Saccharomyces cerevisiae S288C: one gene and its partners. The gene in region 1 interacts genetically with each later gene. Each region holds a gene or a part of one and is shown on either strand. Other genes may lie near its edges.

Region 1 (6,474 bases):
AATCTGATGTAAAATTTAACCCATGTAGAAAAGTTTTCTTCTGATGTTAAAGTGTGTGGTGGTAAGACATTATTTCTCACCTTTGTCTTAGCTTGAGGTACTTCAGAGTGTTGATCCTGTGAATCGATTGGATCAGGTGAGGAAGTACTCAGCGGTGGGATATACTGTGGCAGCGGATAGTGTGGGTCCGGTTGATAATACGCAGGTGACGTTTGATAATGTGAACACGTCATCATAGATGGTTGTTGGTAATGTGCCCAGTTAGAAGCCATAGCTTTGTTTGGGGTCATCATGCCGTGCTGTTGGTACTGTCCATTCTGTGGAGGTGGTACTGAAGCAGGTTGAGGAGAGACATGATGATGGTTCTCTGGAACAGCTGATGTCCCAGGTGTTGTCTCTTCTTGAGAATTAACCTTAGTGGAATCTCTATCAAATTCCGGTAAATTGGAAGCTGAAACGGCTAACGGATCTTGATTTGATGGGACTTCCTTAGAAGTAACCGAAGCATAGGCGCTACCATGTAGAGAATGTGGATTTTGATGTAATTGTTGGGATTCCATTGTGATTAAGGCTATAATATTAGGTATGTAGATATACTAGAAGTTCTCCTCAAGGATTTAGGAATCCATAAAAGGGAATCTGCAATTCTACACAATTCTATAAATATTATTATCATCGTTTTATATGTTAATATTCATTGATCCTATTACATTATCAATCCTTGCGTTTCAGCTTCCACTAATTTAGATGACTATTTCTCATCATTTGCGTCATCTTCTAACACCGTATATGATAATATACTAGTAACGTAAATACTAGTTAGTAGATGATAGTTGATTTTTATTCCAACAGGTTCACACGAAGATTGAAAGTGTGGCCACGCTAATTTAGTTTATTAGGGAAATGCTCCTGGTCAGTTCTAATTCACCCAACGTAGCGCGGAATATTTTAAAGTTAATATAGTATTTCGATATGACAAGCACCTCTAAACAAAAGGTTATTTTCGCTTTTGTTCATTGAGCGTGTACTTCAAGCCTGATCCTGCTTTTTCTTCTGATTTGATCTGATTCGATTAAGCAAGCGGTACTACCCTAAAACCGCCATCTGTTGTAATATAGTAACGTCGCAATAAACCTGTCATATAATTAGCAGCTAATCCTTATATTCCATCTCCTCAATTTGTGATATTTATCGTATATAATTCCCATTTCAGACCGTCATTTAGTAGTAGGCATCTAACTATGGAACGGCTTTACCCGATCTTGGTATGTATGCCATAATGTACTACCGCTATCGATTTACCTTAACCCTAACGAGTGTCTCTAGCCAGTATTTTAAACTTCCATATCACAACTAATGTTGAAGATTGTATAATAAAAACATCAAGCTATTTAATAGATGCGATTAATCTCCTAATCGAAAACAGTTTGTTCGGTGTCCAAATACTGTTTTAGTGGACTATGATAAACGTTATAACAGCTATTTTGACTAAAACAACCGTAAATTTACACAGATAGGTGTTCACAGTAATTTTTTGGGGAGTTAGGTCGAAATCTTTTCCAAAACCAGTCATGCAAAGGAAATGCGTCAACTTTTGGGGACTTTTCCCCTACTCAAACACAGTTAGTCAACATTTAAAGGTTGTGTCTTTACTTAAGAGAAAATTAACTGAGCTTCGGTCATACATACGTAATTTCGCTGCTTCCAGTCGAGCAGTTGGTGCGCTATAATCATTTGATGTTTTTAGCTTACGGCTTCTTAAGATTTTCTATTGTTCATACTGACTCGTCGCATAGGCCGCAATATAAATCATTTAGAGAAAACGTTAACACATCGTTTAGGTAAACAACCCCTAGAGAGGATGATCAGTACGCAATATAACTGTTCAAAATCCATTTCTTGCATCAATATTTTATTCAACTATTATTTCTGGAGGTTTTAGTGGTTCTGTATACCCCCTCCAGCCACTGTTATGAACAATTAATTGATACTACTTCGAATATAAACATTAAAACAAAAAACTTATTGAGTGCAGCAAGTTAACATGTATCGATATAATAGAAGTTCCCCTTTTGAACGAACACCAGAAAAACGAGTAAGCCGTCAAGAAAGCCAACGAAAGAGCATCGAATTGCCCAAACTGCCACCATTGAATACGAGGAACTCCTTTTTGGATGATTCTGATAACGGAACAGATAATATCTCAATTGGCTGGACACCAATCAGTGACACCCAGCAATTCCAAAGCCCGGTCCCTCAGGCTTTTACCTTTACATCAAAACATAGTGCAAGGGGAAACGGTACTAGCTCTTCAGAATCCACACCCAAATCGACAAAGTACGTCAAAGAAAGACGACCACCACCACCGCCACCCCTTTTGTATTCCACTGAATCAATACGGATAGACTCACCCATGGTATCTCCCAGTTCTCAGTCCCGGGAAAGATCACCTAATAAACTATCCTTTATAGGAAACTCAGAGGAACGACATCACATGGAATACATATCTAACCATTCCAGGATCTTAAAATCACCATTTGCGAACGGATTTAGTCCAAATTCCCCTAAATCTCCAAGAGATAGTAGCAAACAGCAGGCTCACTTCTCTGATGAATCAGATCTACGGTGTCATGAAAGAGAAAAAGCTTTACCCCCAATTCCTTTCACTACTACTCTTCTGCTATCTCCTTTTGATGATGAAGACTCAGAATTTTTTACGAAACCACCACCGCCTCTATCAACATCTAGAAACGTAAGTGGGAATAGCCGAGTATCAGAAGCCCTAGAAAGTGTTTATTCTGACTCAGATTATACTTTTAATAACTCAAATGCCAGGCAAAGTAGTTTTAACTCTTTACTAGGAGCCAAGCCATTAGAATTAGCACCAAGCATTACTGCACCGACACAACCATTTTCAATTCAATCTATCGATGAGCACAAGCTTTATCAATGTGATAATGTTTACAAACTTTCTGCTATTTATGAGTGGATTTTGAAAGTTTATTTTGAATGGTTTAATGAATGTGTCTTCACGAAAATCGATCTTTTCCAAATTGTTCAATTACTTTTAGAGTTTCAAATGCCTACAAATTTCGATCAAGATACGATAGACTCAAATGTGGATAATATTATGGCTTCGTTTATTTCCCAGAAAGCAGTAAGATTCGATATCATTAACGATGAAGAGGTAGCCGTAGTTGTGGGAGGGCTGGATATTACTGGTGTTTTCACCGAACTACTACCGTGCTATTCATTCATCGATAATACTTATGGATCTACAAACTCCCTGATTTGTTATTCCAACGTTTGCACACATGGCCAAAGCTCTGGCTTCAGAAAAGAAATAAAACTTTCCGAAATCATAAATAAATCAGTTGGACTTTGGACAGAATACTGGCACTTGACTCCAGATGATTTAGCAGAAATTAATCCCCGTGAAGTACAAAGACAAAGCTTTATATTTGACTTAATTATTTTAGAAGAAAGATCCTTAAACATGGCTACTGCCGCGGTAGAAATCTATGGGAAACGGTTTGACAAATCCCTACTTCCAGATGAGCCTGAGTTCAAGGCATTGGCATTTGATATCTTCGAACCTCTAATACAATTACATACCGAATTTCTTTTGACGCCAATATTTTGGAAATTAAAAACGAGAGGTAAGTTTATTGATGGCGTTGGAAAAATCTATTCAAAATGGTGTGGTGAAGCCAAGAATATATATTTGAATTACGCGAAAGCTATGGCAACGGTACACGAAATCATAATGTGGGAGAAGAAAAACAAGACGAAATTTGTAACATGGCTTAAGGAGATTGATAACTCGGTTGAAATTACAAGATCGAAGATGTATCATGATGTTATATTCTTTGGGGGGTTTTTCAAATCTTTACAAAACATGCCCGTAACTCTGCGCTCAATTTTGAAGAACACGGATCCTTCCATGGAGGATTATGAATACCTGAAAATAGTAATTAAGGAAGTAGAAAAGTTGAACTTTGAAGTTAATCAGGTACATGGATTAGCAATTGACCATAGGAAACTAGTAAGGTTTTCGAAACAATTAGTATTAAGTACTAATAGTAGTAATGCAACAAGCTATGTGAACGTCGGTGGTAGTACTAACGCAAATGACGATGATGCAATTCAGGATAAACTAGCTCTTGGTTTAACTTATCCGGAAAGGAAGTTAGTACTATCTGGCACTGTTTATAAAAAGAGGGATTTATGGCTGGACCCAACCCCAGTGTATATCGCATTATTGGACAATTGCTTACTGATTACAGAGGAAATAAGTAAAGGAGAAACTCAAAAATATAAGCTTATTGAAAGACCTATCCCAATAGATTATTTAAGTCTCGAGAAAAGGAAAATTCCAGGAACAAGTAAACAGCCTCTGAGAAACTACTCTCAGAAAGAACATAAATCCCCAATGCATAATTTTTCGACACCGATTAACTCCATGAGACCTCTGCTTAAAAGTTCTGGAAATCACATGTCAACAGCGTATGGAGATAGAAAGACTAGTAATACTGAAATTTCTAACGCGAATCCAAACACAGACGAGTTCTCATTTAAGATCAGAAATACAGCCACAGGTGAATCGTTCAAATTTTTTACAGAAAGTGCAGAAGTACTCAACCAATGGATTGATGCTATCATGGAATCTTTTAAAAGAAATGCAGAAAATCATGATTTAAATGCCTTTGAATTTACAGTGTTGAGCTCTGAGTTCGCATACTTCGACAAGGATGCACCGGTGAATCTACCTGTAGCTCCGGAAGGATCAGAAATTGATGTAGCACTCAAAGCTTACGCTCAAAAAGCAAACAAAGATTCATGTTCATGGAGTAAGACAACACGGATTCTTTGTTGTGAAGATGTTAAATTCGAGGGCAGAATTTACCTATTTGTGGCTACAACAGACGGTATCTATGTGAAATATAGAGACGATTATGGTAGTGGTTTCGTTAAAATATTAGAATTAAACGACGTCAAAAGAATGGAAGCCAATGTTAAGTTGGGGCTCTTGTTTGTATTGGATAACAGAAAGTTGTGCTATTTTAATATCTCAACGGTAGTGAGCCGTTACCTAGCGCAAGGAAACACTCTAGATGAAAACTGCATTGTGGGAACAGTAATCAGAGATAAGGTGAGATTCTTCAAAATTGCTGATGATTTTGGTAACTCAAAACATTTATTTTTTGAAAGAAAGGGGAAGATAGTTATATTAACACCAGAATTTGATCAATTGACAAACCAAGTAAAATATTTCAAATTTTACAAAGAGTATAAGCTCCCAAGTTCAAGTAATAACATTCTGAATAACGAAATTGAGGATATTGCCATATTCAGGAAAAGTTTTGCTGTGTGTACAAAGAAAACAGTCATACTTTATCAAGATTCATTCGAGGATAACGGAATAGTCTTACCATCTTTTTTGAATGATAAAGATATGATGGCACACTTGAGGCATCCACATTTGAATAGCTTACCGTTCAAAAGTGCTACAGACTCCAAGAAACGCCCCTCCATAGAATCTCTCACTGAAGAAGCAAAAAAGGATATCGCCACTTGCAAAGCTATACCGGTCAATTTTTTTCAAATATCACAATCTAGTTTTTTTGCCTTGGTTTATGATGAAGCCGTAGTGAAAATAAACTGCTACGGTGAGATGTCTGATTGGAGAAAGGATATTCTCTTACTTGATTTTTGTTGTACCGGCGCGAGCTTCCATGGTAATCATTTGATTCTCGTTGGCGACAATTTGATACAGATTTACGACTTAAAAAATGTTGAGCAGAACCTAGGCGAATTGGTTCCCGTCCAGATCATAAAAGGAAAGAAGATAAAGCTGGCTAGTTCAGAAAGGAGAGAGAAAACAATTCTTGTGTTAAGTCATCCAAATATACTTAATAGACAATTATTAGTCGCGTGCAATCCTGTAGCAATGGCAGATCATCAATAATATAAGATATAGACACTTTTAATGGTAAATATCGTTGTAATAATATAAGCCAACAAGAATATAGTCCAGTAATTATGCTATTTGCAGTAACTCACATCATTATTCTCTCTGTTCATATAATCCTGAATAACAGGTTACCCTCGGAAGTGCATTTAGCCGTATAACAAGTAGCTCTTTAAAATCAGTAGAACAGATACATTAATATGTGATAATACGGCTGTGAGGAAAAGGTGAAGTTCTGGTGATGAATATAGACTGTTTGTGTCGTTGGGTAGTTCTGCCACTGCTGCGCTATCCACTTCTGGTAGCTCTTGTATTGAGATGGTATGTAAAGTAGAAAATAGGCATGAGGTTAGAAACAGCGTTTTTTATACTAACATGACGAACTAACCTAGGTCTCTAAGCGACTCGATAAGCATTTGTCTAACAATCTATACACTACTGATAAATGCATTCCTCATTGCTAATTCCTATATAAAGCGGTCGGGACAGGTCGCCTGGAAGAG
Region 2 (6,860 bases), on another chromosome or scaffold:
TGTTGTTTCTTACAAATTGTTGGATGCCCCAGCTGCTATCAGAACTGGTCAATTTGGTTGGTCTGCTAACATGGAAAGAATCATGAAGGCTCAAGCCTTGAGAGACTCTTCCATGTCCTCCTACATGTCTTCCAAGAAGACTTTCGAAATTTCTCCAAAATCTCCAATTATCAAGGAATTGAAAAAGAGAGTTGACGAAGGTGGTGCTCAAGACAAGACTGTCAAGGACTTGACTAAGTTATTATATGAAACTGCTTTGTTGACTTCCGGCTTCAGTTTGGACGAACCAACTTCCTTTGCATCAAGAATTAACAGATTGATCTCTTTGGGTTTGAACATTGATGAGGATGAAGAAACAGAGACTGCTCCAGAAGCATCCACCGCAGCTCCGGTTGAAGAGGTTCCAGCTGACACCGAAATGGAAGAGGTAGATTAGGTAGAACATCATGGCCTTGAATAGGTTATAAACAAAACATAATATAACGTATAGGTATTCGAATGAATAAATAAGTATGTAAATAGGGCATCTGCATGGAAATAACTGGGTAAAACATTACAATGTATTTTTTTAGAGTTTTCACTATTCCGACGCGTCTAGTGTGTCATACAAAACGCGAAGAATCTGAAATCGTGAAATATACTTAAGAATATAACTGAAATAGCTTAAGCATAAATGGACTTTACTGCGAAGATAAAGGGTATGTTGAAACTCATCTGCTTTCATTATGCGTCCAACTAATTAACATTGCATATTTTCGTATACTATTTTTTTGTGTAGAGCTCGAACGAGAACTCTCAGAGACGAGTGACTATAAGACCTTGCAGAAGAAGACCATAAGTCTTCGAAGTGAGCTGAATACTCTGTCACATTCTTTGACATCTTATGAAAAAGAACACTTCTCCAATGATATAGAAAATGTATTAAAATCTATTAATGCAAAATTATCTGAGTCAAAGGGCAAAAAACGACTATTCTCCTTCAAACAGAAAAATTCATCATCAGCCGTTCATAAGAATGTTGAACGTACGGAGCTTGCGAATGCGCCGGCGTATACCACTACTTTGAAAAAGCATTATGTCTTGGAGAAGGGTGATTCAGCTTTTGAAAATTTAGAGTTTTGTACTGTTACATCAACAACAGATTATAGTGGCAATAGTGCCCTTTCTGGTTCTTTGTGCTTTCGCAATATTACTAAATGTGTCATAAACTTACAAAGGATTTTCTTTCAAACAGGGAGTATTTTCATAACTGATTGTACGGATTCTATAATTTTTCTACGGTCTCCTTCCGACAAGGATTTCCAAATCCGTTTACGTGACTTGAAAAATTGCAAAATTTTGATAGAGAAACTCTCGCCAAGTATCGATTGCAAACAAGTGGTAATCATAGAAAATTGTCACAAATGCATTTTCAACGCAAGCACTCGGGACCACCTAATTATACAAGATTTCTCTAACCCCTTCCAAAGCGAAGAAACTGAGGACAATTCTGCCTTTGCATTTGAAGATTTTGATATTTGTAACAAGGATACAATGCAGTTGTTTCGCGCTTACTTATAGCGCTTTATATTGAGCTACGCATCGCTAAAATTGTTTATTTCGTATATAGTGATTTAAGCATGCCATTAATAGCATATCCTAAAAGAGGAAAGTGTAAACATTACAAATTCTTCCATCTTGAAATTAAGAAACCCTGTTATTGACATCAGAAAACAACAGCTTTTTATTGAAAATAAGAAAGTAGTTGGCCAAAACATAGATTATTTTTTTGAAAAACTTATTGCACCAGTTCAATTATATGTAACAAGGTGGTGCAAAAACAATGACAGCATATTCAGGCTCTCCTTCGAAACCAGGCAATAATAATTCTTATCTAAATCGTTATGTTGAAAACCTAGGCACCAATGTGACTCCACCTCTGAGACCGCAGTCAAGTTCCAAAATCAACTCTTCGTTAAACATAGCGTCGCCAAGTCATTTAAAGACTAAGACGTCAGCTAGCAACAGTTCTGCGACAATTTTGTCAAAAAAAGTAGAAAGTTCCGTATCAAAGCTGAAGCCATCCCTTCCTAACAAACTCGTAGGAAAATATACCGTAGACTTAAGTAATTATTCGAAAATAGAACTGAGGTACTATGAGTTTTTATGCAGAGTATCAGAAGTCAAAATATGGATTGAAGCTGTTATTGAGGAAGCACTACCATCAGAAATAGAGTTATGTGTTGGAGACTCACTTAGGAATGGTGTTTTTTTGGCCAAGCTAACCCAGAGGATAAATCCAGATTTGACAACGGTTATATTTCCTGCAGGTGATAAACTACAATTTAAACACACTCAGAACATTAATGCCTTTTTTGGTTTGGTAGAACATGTCGGTGTTCCGGACTCTTTTAGATTTGAATTGCAAGATCTCTATAACAAGAAGAATATCCCTCAGGTTTTCGAAACCCTGCATATTCTTATATCAATGATTAATAAGAAATGGCCAGGCAAAACGCCCGCTTTAACAAATGTATCGGGCCAAATAAGTTTTACCAAAGAAGAAATCGCAGCTTGTAAAAAAGCATGGCCTAGAATTAGAGACTTCAAGTCCTTAGGAACTAATATCAATACTGCACCAGCTTCCCCTGAGGAACCAAAAGAAAAAAGAAGCGGATTGATAAAAGACTTTAATAAATTTGAAAGGCCGAATATACCGGTGGAAGAAATTTTAATTACCCCAAGAAAGAATATAACAGATGCTAATTGCTCCGATTTTTCTAATACACCTTCACCTTATAATGAAGCTCCAAAAATGTCAAATTTGGATGTCGTTGTTGAGAAGAGGAAATTCACACCCATTGAGCCGAGTCTTCTGGGCCCTACACCATCTTTAGAATATAGCCCAATAAAAAACAAAAGTCTGTCGTACTATTCTCCTACCATCTCGAAATACTTGACATATGATACAGAATTTTATACGAGAAGGAGTCGTGCAAGAGAGGAAGATTTGAATTATTACCAGACGTTCAAATACTCACCTTCTCATTATTCTCCCATGAGAAGAGAAAGGATGACAGAGGAACAATTTTTAGAGAAGGTAGTTCAACTGCAAAATATTTGTCGAGGAGTTAATACCCGTTTTAACCTATACATTCAAAAAAGGTTACTGAACCTTTTTGAACAGGACATACTAAGGTTTCAAGCATGCCTAAGAGGAAATAAATTTAGAGTATTGTCATCAATGTATTTGCCAATAAGAAGAGCAAAGATTGACGTTCCTCATGTCGAGGCGATTCAATCGCGAATTAAGGGAAGCAGAATTCGATATAAATACGATAAATTGAAATTTACACTCTCAAGGTTTTCGTGTACTGTCGAACTTTTGCAAGCATATTGTCGTTCAAAATTGTTGAAGACAACCGTTAACACAAAATTAAATGATATTGAGATATCACATTATCCTCTGACAAAATTGCAGTCTTATATGCGTGCTTCTTATGTGAGAAAGAAGGTGATGTCCCTCAATACAAAGTTGAACGATGAGCGAGAAAGTATTATGAAGTTTTCGGCAATCATCAGAGGTAACGTTGTGAGGTGTTCAGAGGACGCGATATTAAGTGCTGTACATGATGTACATAAGGAAAATATCTCAAAATTGCAAAGCTTGATTAGAGGAATATTTACGCGTTCGTGCCTAGCATCAATAATATATTCACTTGGAAAAGAAAACTGTAATATTATTCAATTATCAGCCTGTATACGCGGAAACGCTGTAAGACATAAGGTACAGTCACTGTTTGCGCCCGAAAATAATCTCAGTGAAACTGTGCACGACCTCCAGGGTTTGGTTAGAGGTATTCTAGTCCGCTACACATTAGACTTAGTCGATGACATTGTGGAGTATAATAATTTAGCATTATTTCAAGCATTTTCTAGAGGCGCTTTAGTACGTGAAAGCTTGGACCAAAAGTCGAGTTTTTACAAGAGAAACGTAAGGTCGGTTATTATGATTCAAAGCTGGATTAGGAAAAGTCTGCAAAGATCGGCATATTTGGAACTTCTAGACTGTCCAAATCCAAGTCTTTGGGCTGTCAAAAAATTCGTTCATTTGCTCAATGGAACAGCAACCATTGAAGAGGTCCAAAACCAGTTGGAGAGTTGCCAAGCCTCTCTTGATTCCGAAAATATGAAGAAGGAACGATTACTGAAGAGCATAAGACAACAACTAAATATTAACGGAGTATTGGATAAGTTTGGACTATTAAAAGATAAAGATCATGAACTCGGTATTTCCGATTCTACGATTCCGAAGTCTAAATATCAAAAGTATGAAAAACTGTTCTATATGTTGCAAGTTGATCCCTCTTATTGGAAATTGCTGTATTTGAAAGAGCCAGAATTTGTTGCAAAGAATGTTTATATGACATTTGGAACAGTGAATCAAAGGATGAACGACAGAGAGAGATCCTATTTCACAAGGTTTGTTTGTGAAATGTTACAAAATGCGATTAATGAAGCACCGAGTATTGAAAGCTTTCTTGACAACCGATCACAATTTTGGCAAACCATTCTTCAAGATTTTTTGAGAAGAGAGTCTCCAGAATTCTTCTCTATAATAGTCCCAGTTTTGGATTACTTGTCAGATCCAGTAGTGGATTTTGAAAGTGATCCATACAAAATTTATCAAGAAATACACGGCTTTAGCTCTCCTCAGCATTGTTCGCCTGTGGATGATGCGAGTACCAAGAATAAGTTCATTGACAATTTAAGGTGCCTATGGCACGCGATTGAAATGGTCGCTGAAATTTATACCAGAAAGGTTCACACTATTCCCGTTGAAATCAGGTACCTCTGCACTAAAATCTTCTGCTACGCGGCAGATAAGAATATTGAGGAGATTGACTCTTTAAGGGCCATATCAAGTATTCTAGTGAACGTTTTTGTGTCTGAATATTTGGTCAACCGGGAATATTACGGATACAAAGACAGCAACGTTCAAAAAAATAACCAAAAAATTGACATTCTAATGAAATCCTTGGCGACTGTTTTTGAAATCAAAAATTTTGATGGCTTTTTGGATCCATTGAACCAGTACGCTAACGAAATAAAGCCTCATATCAAAGATGTCCTTTATAATGTGTTAGTAGATCCAGAGTATGAACAAGAGGGAGATAGATTGATTTATTTGGATATGGTATCGCCAAGCCCCAAATTGGAATTGTTAACTGAAAAGGTTCTGGAAATCAGTGGTAAATTTGAAGAGTATTTAAATGAATTTCCGGAAGCAGATATTTTGCATGATATTTTGGAAAAGAACTTGGACAATTCATCCTTTCCAAGATCAGGACGTGTTACCTTGGAATTGGATGCATCTGCATATCGATTCCTCGTTAGTGATGACAAGATGAGAAAAATCTACGACCAAGTTAAAAGGGCATTTGTGTACATGATGCAAATTGAGGATGTAGATACCAATTTGTATGACCTTTCAATTAGTACAATTCTACCTCAAGATGAACCAAATTTTGCAAATTTTCTGGAGCAAAATCCTAAAATCAGGGATGATCCAATGATACAGAAGCTGAAACCATTGAAATACTTCACACTCAAAAATGTTACTTTGAAAAAAATACATGAACTAGAAAGTACGGGGACTTTTTGCTCTTCTGATAATAAGTTACAAAATTTCTTAAACGATATTGCGAACACTATTAAAAATCCCAACTATGCCATTGATTATGTAACCCAGGAAATTTACATCACAAAGGAAACACTCACAAAAATTTCGGAAATGAACCACAGCTTAGATATAGAATTATCAAGGCTTAAAAAACATGTTGATCATACGATAAAAGACTTCCAGAAAGCCAAGGATTTTTCGCCGGTGCACAAAAGTAAATTTGGAAATTTTAAGAATGCAGTAAAAAAAGTTCAAGGAAGAGAACGTTCTGAATTGCAGGGAATGAAGTTTAAATGGAACACAAAGCAGTTGTATGAAAGAGGAGTGCTTAAAACCATCAGGGGTGAAAAACTAGCTGAACTGACTGTAAAAGTCTTTGGTTCGAGCGGTCCTAAATTCCCAGATATAATATTCAAAATTTCCACATCGGATGGTTCTAGATTCGGTATTCAAATGATTGACAAAAGAAAAGGGCCCGATAAACGATACTCGGATGATGTCGATTCTTTCTCATTTAAAGACTTGATAAAGACTCAAGTTGAACCAAAAATCGAGACGTGGAAATTATTCCATTCCAACGTTGTTGTTAACAATAGCCAATTACTACATTTGATTGTCAGTTTTTTCTATAAAAGGAACGCTTTGTAATAGATAACTCGGTTTTGAGCATATTGGGCAAAAGCTGTTACTAAATTTTCCCATTCTTTCTATTTTTATCTTTGTTTTTATTTTCCTTATTTTCAGCAGCAAAAATAATTTAACGTATAGTTATGTAAAGGACCCTAAACATCTTCTTTTTAGCATGTGCTGTAATTTGGCGATATCTTCAGTAGATAAAAATAAGATGTGTTAAGTAATGCACTTCGTTATTTGGCTACTATAGTTGGCAATCATCATTTGTTTAAATGGAATAATCTATATAGTACTATAAATACAGTCATACTAGAAAAATATTAACGACCAAATAGGCCCAAGAAACCACGCTTCTTTTTAGGCTCTCCTTCCGTCTGCTCATTAGAAATTGGTGTTTGAGAGATGCTCTCGGTTTCTGTGACTGAATCTTTCACTTGAGAAGCTGAGGGCTCTTGCTTATCATATGTTATGTAGTTGAAGGCCAAATCAAAAAGTGTTGGTTTACTAGGAATGGGCAGCATTTTTGGCTTGAGAGGGAATAAATTTTTCAATTGTATGTCCGTTG
Region 3 (3,736 bases), on another chromosome or scaffold:
TGTGACACAATATGTGACACTACTGGAGGCACCTTCTGCGTTGTAACTTGTATTTGGCCGTCTCCAATTTGCGAAACTGGATGAGGTAATTTTTGTGTCGTTACTTGCACTTGACCGTCATTAATTTGTGAAATGACGTTTCTTTTGACCTTACTTTCAGTAACGGTGAAAGGTATAACAGCGAGACCGAATGAGGTCCGGTACTCTGTTGTGCCACCATCCATTTTAGAGCTTGGAGTTAAAGTTGCCCAGGGTTCAGGTGGAGCGTACGCAGTTAGCGCAATACTACTTAATAGAGATGCTAGAAATGCTTTCTTGTAATGCATATTGGGGCGGTGTTCACTTCTTCAGTAAGTTGTATAGAATTAAAAAATCGAGACTAAACAGAAATTTCGAAACAAGAAGATAAGTATATGTATACAAGTTATTTTACTCTTTTAACTGTTTTCGTTTCCCCACTCTTTCGCAAAAAGAATAATTTTGTGAGTCAAAACAGTCGAATTTTCTTGCACAAAAAGTCGATATTCTTTTGTGACTCTGTGTAACTTACTTTCTACAGCTTTTGTTACTCCACTTCTCTTATATATACCCAATGATTCACTCGTAATATATCAGAGGAACGTTAGAATTTCTGTATTTTCTCAGGAATCCTACAAAATTAGAGGTGAAATTGATCAGGTTAAGGAGCAGAAGCCCACTATATAAGTAAGATGATATCAAGCCTAGTTGGATGCCTTCAGGAACGGCAAATAGGATATGTGAGCTTGGCAAAGGGGTTTTGATAGAGTAACAATAGATCCTTGCTAGCCAATGCGACGTTCCTCTGTAGTTTTTACCACAGTTTTACTTAATTTCGTGCTTTGTCCCTTTTTGGCAAAAAAGTCGGATAATGTCTTCACTATATTTGTGTTTTCGTCTTTTAGGAAAAGCGTACTTTAGTAAACTACAAATTTGAGCTGAGCTAATTTCGGATTAGTAAAAGATGCAAGGAACAGTAAAAATTAAAATAGCGATTGACCGAAATCAGTCCAAAAATTACTACAACAAGCAAATCCAATTAAAAACAGTAAAATACTTTAAGTGCATTTACCGTTACGAACAACATATGTCCTAGTTAGTATAGTAGTCTACTAAGTAGCAAAAAAGTAGAAACTCTGTCACTATACCAGCCATCAGTTCATAGTAAAACAGTAAAAATTGTAAAAACAAGCAAAAAAAAAACAAGAAGGAACAAATGCACCAAACTGTTGATCTATTCTGCAAAAAAAAGTATGGTAAATTTTTTCCATTATCCTGGCCGCTAATCCATATGGAGGTGAACTTAGAACTTGCACAAGGATGCGATGAATGATAGGCTTTGTGCTATAATTAATGCAGGCAGGTCCGCCATGTCCAACACGTTGCTGGCCGCAAAACGAGTCAATCTCACTGCTTTGCCACGCTCATTTCTCCCCCCTTCTGCCCAATTAGGCGACCCTCACAATGCACATACACATTTCCCACCTCTATTGGAAGGGGCCGTAAATGGTAATTCTTGGGAGTTATTCATATTAAGTGATCTTACTATTTCCTATTTCGGAAATTATTAAAGACAAAAAAGCTCATTAATGGCTTTCCGTCTGTAGTGATAAGTCGCCAACTCAGCCTAATTTTTCATTTCTTTACCAGATCAGGAAAACTAATAGTACAAATGAGTGTTTTCTCAAGCGGAACACCACATTTTGAGCTAAATTTAGATTTTGGTCAAAATAAGAAAGATCCTAAAAAAGGAATGGTTGGTGAAAAATTTATTAGCTTGAATGGTAGGAATCCTCGAGATATAAAAGGAACACTTGAAGTCTAACGACAATCAATTTCGATTATGTCCTTCCTTTTACCTCAAAGCTCAAAAAAATATCAATAAGAAACTCATATTCCTTTTCTAACCCTAGTACAATAATAATAATATAATGCAATACAAAAAGACTTTGGTTGCCTCTGCTTTGGCCGCTACTACATTGGCCGCCTATGCTCCATCTGAGCCTTGGTCCACTTTGACTCCAACAGCCACTTACAGCGGTGGTGTTACCGACTACGCTTCCACCTTCGGTATTGCCGTTCAACCAATCTCCACTACATCCAGCGCATCATCTGCAGCCACCACAGCCTCATCTAAGGCCAAGAGAGCTGCTTCCCAAATTGGTGATGGTCAAGTCCAAGCTGCTACCACTACTGCTTCTGTCTCTACCAAGAGTACCGCTGCCGCCGTTTCTCAGATCGGTGATGGTCAAATCCAAGCTACTACTAAGACTACCGCTGCTGCTGTCTCTCAAATTGGTGATGGTCAAATTCAAGCTACCACCAAGACTACCTCTGCTAAGACTACCGCCGCTGCCGTTTCTCAAATCAGTGATGGTCAAATCCAAGCTACCACCACTACTTTAGCCCCAAAGAGCACCGCTGCTGCCGTTTCTCAAATCGGTGATGGTCAAGTTCAAGCTACCACCACTACTTTAGCCCCAAAGAGCACCGCTGCTGCCGTTTCTCAAATCGGTGATGGTCAAGTTCAAGCTACTACTAAGACTACCGCTGCTGCTGTCTCTCAAATTGGTGATGGTCAAGTTCAAGCTACCACCAAGACTACTGCTGCCGCCGTTTCTCAAATCGGTGATGGTCAAGTTCAAGCTACTACCAAGACTACCGCTGCTGCTGTCTCTCAAATCGGTGATGGTCAAGTTCAAGCAACTACCAAAACCACTGCCGCAGCTGTTTCCCAAATTACTGACGGTCAAGTTCAAGCCACTACAAAAACCACTCAAGCAGCCAGCCAAGTAAGCGATGGCCAAGTCCAAGCTACTACTGCTACTTCCGCTTCTGCAGCCGCTACCTCCACTGACCCAGTCGATGCTGTCTCCTGTAAGACTTCTGGTACCTTAGAAATGAACTTAAAGGGCGGTATCTTAACTGACGGTAAGGGTAGAATTGGTTCTATTGTTGCTAACAGACAATTCCAATTTGACGGTCCACCACCACAAGCTGGTGCCATCTACGCTGCTGGTTGGTCTATAACTCCAGACGGTAACTTGGCTATTGGTGACAATGATGTCTTCTACCAATGTTTGTCCGGTACTTTCTACAACTTGTACGACGAACACATTGGTAGTCAATGTACTCCAGTCCACTTGGAAGCTATCGATTTGATAGACTGTTAAGCAGAAAACTATTAGTTCTTTTATCCTGATGACTTTTTCTCATTTGCATTGATTAGAAAGGAAAAAAAGAAGTGTCCTTTTCTACTACTACTCTAGTCGCATCCATTCCTTTGCATTTATCTTTTCTGCGGTTGGCCAATCCATTCTTCCGAGAATTTGGCTAGCCATACTTGATGTTTTCCCATTATTGGTTCGTTTGGCAATGCTAATTTTCTTAATTGCCCCTTATATACTCTTCCATAAAATGTTTTTTTTATAACTAATTTTCTGTATATCATTATCTAATAATCTTATAAAATGTTAAAAAGACTTGGAAAGCAACGAGTGATCGTGACCACATAATTGCCTCGCTACACGGCAAAAATAAGCCAGTCCTAATGTGTATATTAAAGGCTGCATGTGGCTACGTCTATTAAAAAAAAAATATTTATCTAAATAAAAGAAACCTTCTTTTAGAGAACCTTAAAAATGTAATATACAAATCATTCATACCAAAATCTTTTTACAAATCATAATCTTTTTCTATTTCTTTTCCCTTATAAAAG
Region 4 (4,527 bases), on another chromosome or scaffold:
TGTCATTCTTCATAAGATTGCCGCTATCGGTGCTGCCAACGGTATTAAAAAGTTAGTTATTGGCCAGCATGGTCTTCTGTCTACGCCAGCCGCTTCTCACATCATGAGAACCTACGAGGAAAAATGTACTGGTGGTATTATCTTAACCGCCTCACATAATCCAGGTGGTCCAGAAAATGACATGGGTATTAAGTATAACTTATCCAATGGGGGTCCTGCTCCTGAATCCGTCACAAATGCTATTTGGGAGATTTCCAAAAAGCTTACCAGCTATAAGATTATCAAAGACTTCCCAGAACTAGACTTGGGTACGATAGGCAAGAACAAGAAATACGGTCCATTACTCGTTGACATTATCGATATTACAAAAGATTATGTCAACTTCTTGAAGGAAATCTTCGATTTCGACTTAATCAAGAAATTCATCGATAATCAACGTTCTACTAAGAATTGGAAGTTACTGTTTGACAGTATGAACGGTGTAACTGGACCATACGGTAAGGCTATTTTCGTTGATGAATTTGGTTTACCGGCGGATGAGGTTTTACAAAACTGGCATCCTTCTCCGGATTTTGGTGGTATGCATCCAGATCCAAACTTAACTTATGCCAGTTCGTTAGTGAAAAGAGTAGATCGTGAAAAGATTGAGTTTGGTGCTGCATCCGATGGTGATGGTGATAGAAATATGATTTACGGTTACGGCCCATCTTTCGTTTCTCCAGGTGACTCCGTCGCAATTATTGCCGAATATGCAGCTGAAATCCCATATTTCGCCAAGCAAGGTATATATGGTCTGGCCCGTTCATTCCCTACCTCAGGAGCCATAGACCGTGTTGCCAAGGCCCATGGTCTAAACTGTTATGAGGTCCCAACTGGCTGGAAATTTTTCTGTGCTTTGTTCGACGCTAAAAAATTATCTATTTGTGGTGAAGAATCGTTTGGTACTGGTTCCAACCACGTAAGGGAAAAGGACGGTGTTTGGGCCATTATGGCGTGGTTGAACATCTTGGCCATTTACAACAAGCATCATCCGGAGAACGAAGCTTCTATTAAGACGATACAGAATGAATTCTGGGCAAAGTACGGCCGTACTTTCTTCACTCGTTATGATTTTGAAAAAGTTGAAACAGAAAAAGCTAACAAGATTGTCGATCAATTGAGAGCATATGTTACCAAATCGGGTGTTGTTAATTCCGCCTTCCCAGCCGATGAGTCTCTTAAGGTCACCGATTGTGGTGATTTTTCATACACAGATTTGGACGGTTCTGTTTCTGACCATCAAGGTTTATATGTCAAGCTTTCCAATGGTGCAAGATTCGTTCTAAGATTGTCAGGTACAGGTTCTTCAGGTGCTACCATTAGATTGTACATTGAAAAATACTGCGATGATAAATCACAATACCAAAAGACAGCTGAAGAATACTTGAAGCCAATTATTAACTCGGTCATCAAGTTCTTGAACTTTAAACAAGTTTTAGGAACTGAAGAACCAACGGTTCGTACTTAAAACGAATGATTTACTAATGGCTTAATGATTTTCACCTTTTTCAATGAATATTAACGGTAAAGAAGAAAATTTCAATTTTTTGAACACATACTTTATATACTTAATAGATCCATATTTCGACATATTAGCAAACGATTGCATAGGTTTCTGAGTCTTTTTTTTTTTTTTTTCATAAGGAGGAGAATATTTTGGTTAATCGCAGTATCTTCTTCATAAGTGCTGTTTCTAATTATATCTAATTCACGAATTTTTCCCAAATTAGCGTATCCCCGAATTCAGATTACCTACCCCGAGTTTTTTATTATATTTCCCTCGAGAAATCTGTAAAATGGCCGTCATCCTTAGATTTATAAATAAAATGATAAAATTCAGCCAAAGTGCTCCTAAACCAGAATTGTTCAACTGGGTCAAATTATCGCGTATACAAATATACATATAGTAACATGCATTCCTGGCGAATATCCAAGTTTAAGTTAGGAAGGTCCAAAGAAGATGATGGGAGTAGTGAAGATGAAAATGAAAAATCGTGGGGTAATGGCCTGTTTCATTTCCACCATGGAGAAAAACATCACGATGGTAGCCCGAAGAATCATAATCATGAACACGAACACCATATAAGAAAGATCAATACAAATGAGACTCTCCCAAGTTCCTTAAGTTCTCCAAAATTACGTAATGATGCATCCTTCAAGAATCCATCGGGGATAGGAAATGACAATTCTAAGGCTTCCGAAAGGAAAGCTAGTCAGTCGTCTACTGAGACGCAGGGACCGAGTTCGGAATCCGGACTAATGACAGTGAAGGTGTATTCTGGTAAAGATTTTACTCTTCCCTTCCCTATCACCTCTAACTCTACTATTTTACAAAAACTACTAAGTTCCGGCATCCTTACTTCATCATCCAATGACGCTTCCGAAGTTGCAGCCATAATGCGGCAGCTACCACGATACAAGAGAGTGGATCAAGATTCAGCAGGGGAAGGCTTGATAGATAGAGCTTTTGCCACTAAATTCATTCCTTCCTCTATATTGTTACCTGGGTCAACAAATTCAAGCCCATTACTTTATTTTACAATTGAATTTGATAATTCTATTACTACTATTAGTCCAGATATGGGAACGATGGAGCAACCAGTGTTTAACAAAATATCGACATTTGATGTAACAAGAAAATTACGATTTTTAAAAATCGATGTCTTTGCAAGGATTCCATCCCTACTTTTACCCTCTAAAAACTGGCAACAGGAGATTGGCGAGCAGGACGAAGTACTGAAGGAGATTTTAAAAAAAATCAATACAAATCAGGATATCCATTTGGACTCCTTCCATTTACCTTTGAATTTAAAAATCGATTCTGCAGCCCAAATAAGACTATACAATCACCATTGGATTTCTTTAGAAAGGGGATATGGTAAATTAAATATCACGGTGGACTACAAACCTTCTAAGAACAAGCCTCTCTCCATTGATGACTTTGATCTATTGAAGGTTATCGGGAAGGGTTCGTTCGGCAAAGTGATGCAAGTAAGGAAAAAAGATACCCAAAAGATTTACGCTTTGAAGGCTCTGAGAAAAGCATATATTGTATCGAAATGTGAAGTGACACATACTTTAGCGGAGAGGACTGTCCTAGCAAGAGTTGACTGCCCCTTTATTGTTCCGTTGAAGTTCTCATTCCAATCTCCGGAGAAGTTGTACCTAGTATTAGCTTTCATTAATGGCGGTGAACTGTTCTACCATTTACAACACGAGGGACGATTCAGTCTAGCACGCTCCCGTTTTTATATTGCAGAACTATTATGTGCTCTCGATTCATTACACAAACTTGACGTCATTTATCGTGACCTAAAGCCTGAAAACATTCTATTGGATTACCAAGGACATATTGCACTGTGTGATTTTGGGCTTTGCAAGCTGAACATGAAGGATAATGACAAAACAGACACTTTCTGTGGTACTCCCGAATATTTGGCACCAGAAATCTTGTTGGGGCAGGGCTATACTAAAACAGTTGACTGGTGGACATTAGGTATCTTACTGTATGAGATGATGACAGGGCTGCCACCATACTATGATGAGAACGTTCCTGTTATGTACAAGAAAATTCTGCAGCAACCGCTACTATTTCCTGATGGATTTGACCCTGCGGCAAAAGACCTATTAATTGGCCTCTTAAGCAGAGACCCAAGCAGAAGACTCGGCGTTAACGGTACAGATGAAATTCGTAACCATCCTTTCTTTAAAGACATCTCATGGAAAAAGCTACTTTTGAAGGGCTATATTCCGCCTTACAAGCCAATTGTAAAGAGTGAAATAGATACTGCAAATTTTGATCAAGAGTTCACTAAGGAAAAACCGATCGATAGTGTAGTGGACGAGTACTTAAGTGCAAGTATTCAAAAGCAGTTTGGTGGGTGGACGTACATTGGTGACGAACAGTTGGGTGATTCTCCTTCGCAGGGGAGAAGCATTAGTTAGAAGCAAGCCGAAGCAAGCCGAGCCGAGCCGGACGGAATTTATAGCTATAGCCGCAAGAGGTTGCAATTTTCAAAAATGGATAGTTCAAGTAGATTGCGATACGCACTCCGTTACTATTGTGGTTAACGGGGACAAGAAGAACTACAGAAAATAGAATGGTCCGCAGAGGCTGCGCTCTTCTTTTAGCAACTCTCACACGACTTATGTTGCTTATTCATTTCTTTTACAGCATTATCAGAATTCTTCCATCTACGGAATTGAGATCAAAGACCGACCTGTTGTCGGCCGAAGGACGGACGCTTATACCCGCGGATGTCAAAGCGAAGCCCGCGGGGCGCAAGTCGAGGTTACCGGAATTCGCCAAACGGCAAAGGACCCTTGCATTGCCTGAAAGGAAAGATTCGCTTTTCTGTTTGTTGCCACTTTTCTTACATAGTCTGGGCCGGGAGCAGCTTATTTCTTCCGCGGATGATCCTGGATTTCCTTGCGCGGGCTCAGCCATGGGGAGCCTTACCTAGTCCCGTAAAGGGAAAAAGCTAACCT

The links.
Region 2: of TUS1 (region 1) and IQG1, extra expression of one rescues a mutant of the other (dosage rescue), as found in Saccharomyces cerevisiae (one study listed by BioGRID).
Region 3: mutations in TUS1 (region 1) and HSP150 are lethal when combined (synthetic lethality), as found in Saccharomyces cerevisiae (2 studies listed by BioGRID, with this or other methods).
Region 4: of TUS1 (region 1) and YPK2, extra expression of one rescues a mutant of the other (dosage rescue), as found in Saccharomyces cerevisiae (one study listed by BioGRID).

The regions. Positions count from the first base shown.
Region 1 is NC_001144.5:980,850-987,323, forward strand, and holds TUS1 (Rho family guanine nucleotide exchange factor TUS1), read left to right. Parts: upstream 1-2,044; coding exon 2,045-5,968; downstream 5,969-6,474. Other genes in the region: TDA5 (Tda5p), read left to right, coding at 6,213-6,292, 6,364-6,474. UniProt on the Saccharomyces cerevisiae protein: Guanine nucleotide-exchange factor (GEF) for RHO1 that stimulates the exchange of RHO1 GDP-bound form into GTP-bound form. Required for signaling of cell wall defects to RHO1.
Region 2 is NC_001148.4:90,072-96,931, reverse strand, and holds IQG1 (Iqg1p), read left to right. Parts: upstream 1-1,822; coding exon 1,823-6,310; downstream 6,311-6,860. Other genes in the region: Hsp90 family chaperone HSP82, read left to right, coding at 1-436; GTPase-activating protein CIN2, read left to right, coding at 674-698, 779-1,560; signal recognition particle subunit SRP68, read right to left, coding at 6,616-6,860. UniProt on the Saccharomyces cerevisiae protein: Required for the assembly and the contraction of the actomyosin ring at the bud neck during cytokinesis.
Region 3 is NC_001142.9:118,500-122,235, forward strand, and holds HSP150 (heat shock protein HSP150), read left to right. Parts: upstream 1-1,949; coding exon 1,950-3,191; downstream 3,192-3,736. Other genes in the region: PIR5 (beta-1,3-glucan linked protein), read right to left, coding at 1-326. UniProt on the Saccharomyces cerevisiae protein: Component of the outer cell wall layer. Required for stability of the cell wall and for optimal growth. Required for resistance against several antifungal and cell wall-perturbing agents and for tolerance to heat shock.
Region 4 is NC_001145.3:472,877-477,403, reverse strand, and holds YPK2 (putative protein kinase YPK2), read left to right. Parts: upstream 1-1,950; coding exon 1,951-3,984; downstream 3,985-4,527. Other genes in the region: phosphoglucomutase PGM2, read left to right, coding at 1-1,507; YMR103C (uncharacterized protein), read left to right, coding at 4,140-4,502. UniProt on the Saccharomyces cerevisiae protein: Plays an essential role in the proliferation of yeast cells. Involved in a signaling pathway, required for optimal cell wall integrity, that acts in parallel with the PKC1-SLT2-dependent pathway.